3 linked regions of the Saccharomyces cerevisiae S288C genome follow. The gene in region 2 interacts genetically with the main gene of each other region. Each region holds a gene or a part of one and is shown on either strand. Other genes may lie near its edges.

Evidence for each region.
Region 1: of SIP5 (region 2) and RTN1, changing one suppresses a phenotype caused by changing the other (phenotypic suppression), as found in Saccharomyces cerevisiae (one study listed by BioGRID).
Region 3: of SIP5 (region 2) and CUR1, changing one suppresses a phenotype caused by changing the other (phenotypic suppression), as found in Saccharomyces cerevisiae (one study listed by BioGRID).

Annotation. Positions count from the first base shown.
Region 1 is NC_001136.10:928,895-932,135, forward strand, and holds RTN1 (Rtn1p), read right to left. Parts: upstream 1,464-3,241; coding exon 576-1,463; downstream 1-575. Other genes in the region: HEM1 (5-aminolevulinate synthase), read left to right, coding at 1-204; homoaconitate hydratase LYS4, read left to right, coding at 2,235-3,241.
Region 2 is NC_001145.3:545,680-549,702, forward strand, and holds SIP5 (Sip5p), read left to right. Parts: upstream 1-2,034; coding exon 2,035-3,504; downstream 3,505-4,023. Other genes in the region: Arf family GTPase CIN4, read left to right, coding at 1-51; serine/threonine protein kinase RIM11, read left to right, coding at 446-1,558. UniProt on the Saccharomyces cerevisiae protein: May negatively regulate the SNF1 kinase by promoting the interaction of the REG1/GLC7 phosphatase complex with the kinase. Deletion of SIP5 promotes resistance to artemisinin, which is probably an indirect effect of an action on the electron transport chain.
Region 3 is NC_001148.4:841,678-844,595, reverse strand, and holds CUR1 (Cur1p), read right to left. Parts: upstream 1,335-2,918; coding exon 576-1,334; downstream 1-575. Other genes in the region: TDA6 (Tda6p), read right to left, coding at 1,927-2,918.

The DNA of each region.
Region 1 (3,241 bases), on a different chromosome or scaffold from region 2:
GATGTGTTCAATGAGCTACAGTTACCACGTGTCAGAGACTGGGAAAGCCAAGGTGGCTTATTGGGTGTTGGAGAGAGCGGATTTGTGGAAGAGTCTAACTTATGGACATCAAGCCAACTATCTTTAACTAATGACGACTTGAACCCTAATGTTAGAGACCCCATCGTTAAACAACTAGAGGTTTCTAGTGGTATCAAGCAGTAAAACAACCAATATATGCATGGGCTGAGATAGAGGTACAAGGAATTTGTAAATCAGTAAAAAAAAAAATTAACAGTTTTTTTTTTTCATTTTTTTTTTTTATTCTTATTTATGTATGATACTTTATTATTATTTCTCTTAATTATTTATTTATTTAACTAACACGATGAGCACTTTTAACTGCAATGGTTAAACTGTAGCAATGTTGGTAAAAAAGCAGGGAAAGTTCAAAAATAATTTATGTATTTTTCCTCGGGGGTACAGAAAGTAAAGAGAGAGAAACGTATGAGTATATATAGGCTAATGTAATATGTAGTGGTAAATAAAGAGACAAAAGTTAGCTATTCTTGTTTGAAATGAAAAAAAAAAAGCACTCAAGCGTTGTTTTTTTCCAATTCATTTTGCAAGTTTTTTGTACTTTTCTTCAATTCATTAGACAATTCATCGACGTTAAATTCTTGGGTAGTGGAAGGTTCGTGTTGTGGAACTTCTGGCATAACTTGAGCTGAAGATGTGTAAGCCTTAGACTCTGGTTCCAATGGAACATCAGCGGCCAACTTAGAAGTGCTGGCGGTTTGAGGACCGGCAGTAGAAGACACAGGAGCAGTCTTAGATTTGACCAAGTTGGAAATTGGGCCCAATTTAGATTCAACCTTGTCCAAGTATGGTTTTGTCTTTTCGCAAGCCATTTGAGAAAACTCTTGGGTCTTTTGCTTAGAAATTTCTACACCTTGAGCGACAGTAGCATCAATTTCATGCTTGTAGGAATGGTAGATAACTGGCAAAGTGAAGGTAAAAATGTCAGCAACAAAGACGATGGTCCAGATAGAGAACCAGGAGAAGAATTTGTGTAGTAGAAATAAGGCAACAGCGGTCTTGAAAGTGTGCTTAGGGACTTGAGCGAATACAGTCTTTCTTATGTGGGCTTGGAAGACTGGTAGCTGTTTCAAAGCTTCATCGATATGAGGCTTAATAAAGCCGGCGATATTTGGACATTCTTTAGGACCATACTTGGTGATTAAACCTTGTCCCAAAAAGAGCTTGGATACGAATTCAATAGATCCTGTTGTGAATAAGATAGTGTAGGCAACCTTCAAAAAGAAAGTGATCAAGTTAACTTTTTTCAAAATTAACAAGGCTAACAGAGACCCACCGAAATATTTACCGGTTTGAACAGGGTTCCTCCATAATAGCAAATCGCAATTACAGCTTTTTTGTTGTTGTTGTTGTTGGGCTTGGCTATGTTGAGCTGAGGCGGACATATTTGCGTGTGTGAATATATATTATATATATATACGCTTGCGGGTAGGAAGAAACAATTAAATATTTGGCTTGAGAGTTGAAAAGAAAGAGATCAAGAAAAGGGAATTGTTGAATAAAAATTTGAAAAATGCGAAGTTGAAGTGCCATAGAAGAGAAACAGCCCACACAGGGGAGAAGCCCACTGGAAAGGGGGCACTGACCAACTTTAAATAGGAAACAGAAGATACCACAAGCCAGCGATACAACAGCACCAAACACCGAAAAGAATAGCCAAAGCTGTCCTCTGGTGTTGGAAAAACTGGAAAAAACGCAACTGCGTTGGCTGCTACGGTGAAAAATTTTCCTATGACTTTTTTCACTGCTTGTTCGTGCGAAATTACCGCAAACCCGGTAAAATGTACACGTATCAAGTGATAAACAATTTCGTGTCAAGTGAGCAGAATGGAGCGATTTGGAAAAAAAAAATTTTTATTGTTTTTTCCCCCGGGATTTTGCTCGAGATGACTGAAATTTTGTAATCGATGAGTCTATACCAGAGGCAGCAAATATCACCAACATACACAGGTATACACAATCTCATGTCCACACACACGTACAGACACGCACATATATATATATATATATATATCCCCATAGGTATTTATATATACAAAAGAATCCTCGTGTGTTTGTGTGTGCAATAGCTAGTTTTGCGCTGCCTCTTATAGTAGACAATATCACTTTTTCAATAAAATAGAACTTGCAAGGAAACAAAATTGTATCGCTTCAAGATGCTACGATCAACCACATTTACTCGTTCGTTCCACAGTTCTAGGGCCTGGTTGAAAGGTCAGAACCTAACTGAAAAAATTGTTCAGTCGTATGCGGTCAACCTTCCCGAGGGTAAAGTTGTGCATTCTGGTGACTATGTATCGATCAAGCCGGCACACTGTATGTCCCACGATAATTCGTGGCCTGTAGCTTTGAAATTCATGGGGCTTGGCGCTACCAAGATCAAGAATCCTTCACAGATTGTGACCACTCTGGACCACGATATTCAGAACAAATCAGAGAAAAATTTGACCAAGTACAAGAACATCGAAAATTTTGCTAAGAAACACCATATAGACCACTACCCTGCCGGTAGAGGTATTGGTCATCAAATTATGATTGAGGAGGGCTATGCTTTCCCCTTGAACATGACTGTCGCATCTGACTCGCATTCAAACACCTACGGTGGTCTGGGGTCGCTGGGCACTCCAATAGTGAGAACAGACGCTGCAGCCATATGGGCCACGGGACAGACGTGGTGGCAGATCCCACCAGTGGCTCAGGTTGAGTTGAAAGGTCAATTGCCTCAGGGTGTTTCCGGAAAAGATATCATTGTCGCATTATGTGGGCTTTTCAACAATGATCAAGTTCTAAATCACGCCATTGAATTCACGGGTGACTCTTTGAATGCATTGCCTATCGATCACAGACTCACTATTGCTAACATGACCACCGAGTGGGGGGCTCTTTCTGGTTTGTTCCCCGTGGACAAAACTTTGATCGACTGGTATAAAAACCGTTTGCAAAAGCTGGGCACCAATAATCATCCAAGGATTAATCCAAAGACTATCCGCGCACTAGAAGAAAAGGCGAAGATTCCGAAAGCAGACAAGGATGCACATTATGCCAAGAAACTGATCATCGATCTAGCCACGCTAACTCACTACGTCTCAGGTCCAAATAGTGTTAAGGTCTCCAACACCGTGCAAGATCTATCTCAACAAGACATCAAGATAAATAAAGCTTA
Region 2 (4,023 bases):
ATTGATAACCTGCGTGACCGTCTGGTGGAATCCTGCCATTTTACCCAATAATCGTCTAAGATGTGAGCACCATATAAAAACTTTAAATAATGTCAGTATTTATAGCGTGATAGTTCATTACCCGCCGACTGTGCGCATTCGTGGCTTCTGCTCACTCCGGATAATAATACTACCAAGGGGTTCTGTAAGGCTTGCGGGTTACAAAGCACGGGTCCATTGAAGATCTTACACAAGAAGGAGTGGTAGGAAGACCAGCAGATTATTTCCAATCGGTCGTTGCCATTGTCTTATTTCCTTTTCTTTCTGGCGCATTGCATTTTAACACCTTTTTTTCCAGAATAGCCAACCACCGACGTCTGATTCACACATTACTGGGCAAGATCTTGACATAGCATTACATTACAACACGGCAACACTAATCACGCAACGCTAGAACTCGCGCAGGATGAATATTCAAAGCAATAATTCTCCGAATCTCAGTAATAACATAGTGTCAAAACAGGTTTACTACGCCCATCCTCCACCTACGATAGACCCGAATGATCCGGTGCAGATATCTTTCCCTACCACCGAAGTAGTTGGGCATGGTTCGTTTGGTGTGGTATTTGCCACTGTTATTCAAGAAACTAATGAAAAAGTTGCTATTAAGAAAGTCCTGCAAGATAAACGATTCAAGAACAGAGAGCTGGAAATAATGAAAATGCTGAGTCACATAAATATAATAGATCTGAAGTACTTTTTCTATGAAAGGGACTCCCAAGATGAGATTTATTTAAATTTGATACTAGAATACATGCCACAATCTTTGTACCAGAGGTTACGTCATTTCGTCCATCAACGTACGCCGATGTCAAGATTGGAAATAAAGTACTACATGTTTCAATTGTTCAAGTCATTGAATTACCTCCATCATTTCGCGAACGTCTGTCATAGAGACATTAAGCCTCAAAATTTATTAGTAGATCCTGAGACCTGGTCCTTAAAACTGTGCGATTTCGGCAGTGCAAAGCAATTGAAACCTACTGAACCTAACGTTTCCTATATTTGTTCACGGTACTATAGAGCACCAGAGCTAATCTTCGGCGCAACAAATTATACCAACCAAATCGACATATGGTCCTCTGGCTGCGTAATGGCGGAACTGCTATTGGGCCAACCAATGTTCCCTGGAGAAAGTGGTATTGATCAACTAGTGGAAATCATTAAAATCTTAGGTACTCCATCAAAGCAAGAAATTTGCTCTATGAATCCCAATTATATGGAGCATAAGTTCCCGCAAATTAAACCAATACCATTGTCACGTGTTTTCAAGAAAGAAGATGATCAAACTGTGGAATTTCTAGCTGACGTTTTGAAATATGATCCACTAGAAAGATTTAATGCTCTACAATGCCTGTGTAGTCCATATTTTGATGAACTAAAACTTGATGACGGTAAAATAAATCAAATAACAACTGATTTAAAATTGCTAGAGTTCGATGAAAATGTCGAATTGGGCCATCTATCTCCCGATGAACTATCATCTGTAAAAAAAAAGCTATATCCGAAGTCTAAGTAATGATAGCACCGGAGGGAGCCCAGGCAAGAATAATGGGAGAAGGAAGGAACATATATACGTATGTCTTTTTTTAGTACTATTATTACTGTTATTATTATGAGTATTGTTTTTGTATTACCATCATATTCTTATCATTATTAGTAGTAACAGTATTATGTTATCATTACTGTTATAATGAATACAAATTATGAAAAAAATAAGGTAAAGCCAAAATAAATTGTAACTTTTTTATGCCATTTCACTTCGAATTATGTATAAAAGCCGTATTCTTTGCCAGTACGAAACTATTTTAATGACACCTTTACTTTAACCGGGTAACAACTTCCTTAAATGGGTCGACAAGGTTTTTAGAGTATAAAGGGGCAAGTGAAGGTTCATCATCGAGCTGATGTAGTGGGTGTTTTAGTAAACGAAGAAGCACCTTAGAACCAAATAATCTAGCTAGTATAAACCGAACCCAGAGTAGCAAACAAACCATGGGTAATGTTCCAGGGAAAATAGACCAGGAAGATAGTTTTAATGATGTCAGGCCAGATTCCTCATATAATACTACATCATCGAATTCTGTCATCAAACAATATGATGAAGAAGCCTCTTCAAGGGTGAGAACGAGACGCACGACGTCTTTGGTCAATAATATTTTAAATGGGAATAATGCTCGTACAAAAACTGGTTCTCATCTATCCAGCACTAGTAGAAGAAAGACGTCACGGGAAAAAGAGCTTGCTAAAGAGGCACATGCTAAACAATTGGTTGTGAGGTGTAGCGAAACTGTAGATGGGGGGTTTTTGGCCCCATTTGGCTGTTATTCTTTTGAAAAGTTGGACTATGATGCTACTGTCGTTAAAAATTTAATAATCAAAAGAAAGTTAGCGCCGTTTTACACTCCTTTGCAGGATTTTGATGAAAGTTGGACTAGAGATGAGTTGATAAAAATTGTTGACGGATTGCCCTTGCATGACACGTTCGATGAAAATTTGGAAGAATTCGAAGACGTACCGATAGGCAATTTAAGGAAGTCAACATTTAATGAATTAATAGACAAATCTTTATCCAAGAAGGAACAGAGAAGAATGCACGCAAAGATTTTTAGAGCAAGATTGTATAAGAAAAGAATTTTATGGCAAGAAAATGAAAATGAGACGTTTTTGGAGAGGAAATTGGAAATGAAAAGAATTGGCAGCAAGTCCAGCAATGTTGAAGATAATACCAGTAGCCAGCCAAGGAAAAATTACCATTTACCAAGTGACGATTTGAAGTATACTCTTTACAAAAATGGGTCGGAATGCCCTATTTGTTTTTTATACTTTCCAGGGCCTTTCAACTATTCCAAATGTTGTCAACAGCCTATTTGTACCGAGTGTTTTGTACAGATTAAGAGAGCTGATCCTCACTTCCCTCATGACGAAGTAGACCCAACTGAACCACAAACTAATGACAGTGAAAAGGACCCAAATCTTCTTACCTCTGAGCCAGCAAATTGCCCCTACTGTGCAACTGCTAGTTTTAGCATCACTTATCAACCACCCACAAATCGTGAAACTGGTATAGGGGGTATGCCAGCCGACTCATACGTGTATAAGGACGCCGCCATATCAAGAGCTGATGGCGGTCAGCCAAACATATCAGCCATTACTTCGGATACCATTCGTCCTGATTGGGAGATTAAATTGAACAAAGAAAGGGCAAGGTTGATGAGGAGATCCGCGAATGCCACCGCTATACATATAAGTAATAGGTTGATCGATCCAAGCCATAGCAGAAGGAGAAATACAAGTCACAGTATAACCCCTATTCATGATGAAAGTACGTCAGCTTCAAGATCTCCTGAACCGACAATAAACGAACTTGAAGATCAAATGGTTAGAGAGGCTATTAGGTTAAGCCTTGAAGATCAGGACAACCGAAAAAAATCAAAGAATAGAAACACCTCTTTGAGACCATAGCATCACAGTTTGACATTTTTTACAATATTAAAAAAATCCTTTTTCAAACGTTCCAGAAGTGCACTATTTTTCTTTTGTTCCATCTATATCTAACGGAGCGTCACCAACCTGACCTTCCTTTTGGCTTTAAACAAAATGATCCGGAAATATCGTCACATTTATTGTGAAGAGAGAGAAGTTTTACAGTTAATTGTATTGCAAGCTCTTCCCGCTCTAGAAAGTTTTTGTTTTGTTCGTCCTCAAGAATTGAGAGTTCAAGTATTTCACCTCAAATTTGCATTTGAATTTTAGTAGTAACTAATATAAGATTCCCATCCCGCATCCGCCACTGAGCAATGTCATTCTCTCTTTTCTCGCCTTTTTATGGATAGAAGCACATAGACGATGGATATCAGAGAAGCGTTCACATAATTAAGCAGTTAGTTCCAAATATGCGTACAGTCTTTATAGATGAGAGACTGTTAAAAACGACCTTCCGTTCGACCACTCAAACTGTAGTAGGAGTTCTTTTCTCTATTT
Region 3 (2,918 bases), on a different chromosome or scaffold from region 2:
CCTCATTCCGTTTTATATGTTTATATTCATTGATCCTATTACATTATCAATCCTTGCGTTTCAGCTTCCTCTAACATCGATGACAGCTTCTCATAACTTATGTCATCATCTTAACACCGTATATGATAATATATTGATAATATAACTATTAGTTGATAGACGATAGTGGATTTTTATTCCAACAATTTCTTTACCTGATATTATAACCTTTATCAGTGGTGGATTCCCAACAATTATATGACTATACGCCTTTTCTTACTTAAAAATTTAGAGGAGTACCTTCAGATAATGCTGAGGAACATACCCCTTGTTGATACTGGTATGAACATTCTTAAGACGGGTTCAAACGCGCTATTAGCGATGCGCTAATTTTTTTTAGAATTCAAGCGCCCAAGAGAAGGGACAATGGAATTTTTTGAAATGCATAATAATACTTCATATTTGCTACTAAATTTATCAAGTTTGATATCTATAATTGTAGAATTAGAATATGTAATATTTTGTGATAGAGTAGAAAGCCTTACAGGGTGACACTCAATTTGAAGACACACGGTAAATTCCGTAGCCCGTATTTCTTACCGCCCATTCAATCTTCTAGATACTTCCTTTTTGATGATACTTTCTTGATTACTTCGACTAATATTAAAAGCTCTTATCTCCTGCTCTATGTCATTCAATTCTTCTATCTGATTGTGAGATGTTGAAACCCTATTAACGGCGCTATCATTCTGTAAGCCATTGCCATTGAAAGGTACTTCAATCCACATAACGCCATAAATCTTATCAAAACTGTCTGCAGACATGCTTGTTCCACAAATTTTAAAGTTGTCATCAATTATGTTATTGAAGGAGAATTCCCTGTAAAAGTGATCATTGGCACTAGATATAATAATACCGTTTGTCAAGCGTGATAATTCTAGGTGATAGTCGTCGAATAATATTTCGATCGCCTCTATATCAATATTGTTGGGGTCCAGTTTCTCCATAATCTCAGAAGTTAGCCTATTTTCGTCGACACTCTGTTCCACATAAATTTGATTACCGTCTTTGTCTGATATCAGTTCATAAGATGGTATGTATACTTTTTCCCAAATCCTCGATAACTTTTGTTTGACAATTTCTGCAATGAGTTGGCATGTGATTTCTTTATGGAGAGAAATTATGTAAGACTGGTTTACCTTTCGTACAGAAAAGTGTGGTTGGCATTTATTCTCTCGAAGGGGTGGACGTAGTTGCGGCTGTTGTATTTTTCTTTTCTTGCGGATCATATCCAGTGGTCCATCAGATACATTAATCTCAAGAAGATTAGGTTGACAAATGCATGCGGCAGCCATTAGTCAGTTTTCTGTTTTACGACCAGTCCTATCGAGTTCGGTGCGTTGAGGAAACAAGGGATGGAGTAGTCTTATTGTAGCTTATGAAGGAAATTTTCATTTTTACAAAAATAGAAAGTTGGAAAAAAAAAAAGGCTATAAGATATATCGCAATTATTTTTCCCTTTCTCTTTTGAGTAGGAAAGTTCCCTTTTTTCTATGGAGTTCTCTCGCGTTCTTCTGGGAAATGATTTTTTTTTCCACTGCTTTTGAGAAGTGTGGCGCTATCAATTGCAGAAGGAAAGAGCAAGACATCAGGGACTGATGAACAAGACCAGAAATAAGGGTCTATTTGAATTGAACGTCATATTTGGTTCCTGTGCTTCTAGCCAAATTGCTTTTTTATCATATTTTGTGCTTGTGTGTTTATTTAGATTTAGTTGCGATCAAGTGTAGAAACACATTAAAAACTATGTTGAAAAACATAAAAAGTATTTGCAGATCATTAAACATTAGAATTAACTATTTATCATTAACTATTATATTAGATATTACTAAAGATTAAAATTTGTCATTATATTACAATCAGAACATTCTGTTGTCATAAAGTTCTTCAATTGGTGAAAAATTCCATAAGAGAACAGAGTATACCTCTCCACATTAGAAATCTTAGAATTCCTCTCAGCCATTTTGGTCTGATTCTATAGAGTAGGACACCACAATTATCACCCATAAGATCAGTGCTCTCAGAGTCCAAGCCTTCTGCTTTTTTTATCAATCTTCTTGCGGGGCAGCCACCATTCCAGAAATTCCACTTTTTCACACCGCCGCATAGATTCAATCTATCCAATTTCTTAAACAGGGGGCCACGAGGACCTCCGATATACTTCCATTGAGCTACGCACCATTTCTGTCTTGGATCTCTAGCTGGTAGTTGTTGATCACCCCATCCACCTTGAAAATGCAACCAATCCAAACCGAGAGATTCTTCTCTCTCTGAGGAGGGTGTCACAGTTTTACCATCAAAAGTATAGGAGTAAAAGTTCAAAGATGGATCCCACAGGGGACCACGATCGGTAAAATCACTCAAAGGCATGAAAAAAAAAGGAATGTCATGAGCATGCTGCCCAGCGGATGCATAATTAGCATGCGTGCCTCTAGCACTAAAAATCAACGGTCTTTCCAGTATAGTATCCCCACCATCGTCACTATCTTGCTGTTTTCTTTTCCGTAGTTTCTTAAATTTCTCAACAGCTTCGTATCTGTAGCCTGTTCCACTGGAATGCGCACTCATCCAAAGATATTTTGGAATACCTTTATAAAACCGAACCAAAGAGTGTTCCCAGTCACCGACGTGATTGCCCCAGGGTCCATGGCCCATAATAAAAGGGCCATGATTGAATGGGTAGAAGAAAAACCAGAACGCATCAACCCACCCGTTCCCCTTGTCGACTACGATCAGAATAGCAGGCGCCTTAGAGTTGTAGCCTGTTCCGTATTCGGGTAGATGACCGAGCAACCATTTAGGGTCCTTGTCGAAATCGTCCAAACTGGTTAAAAATACCTCGCTACTGGGGATATGCGTTTCCGTTTTGTTGCCAAATA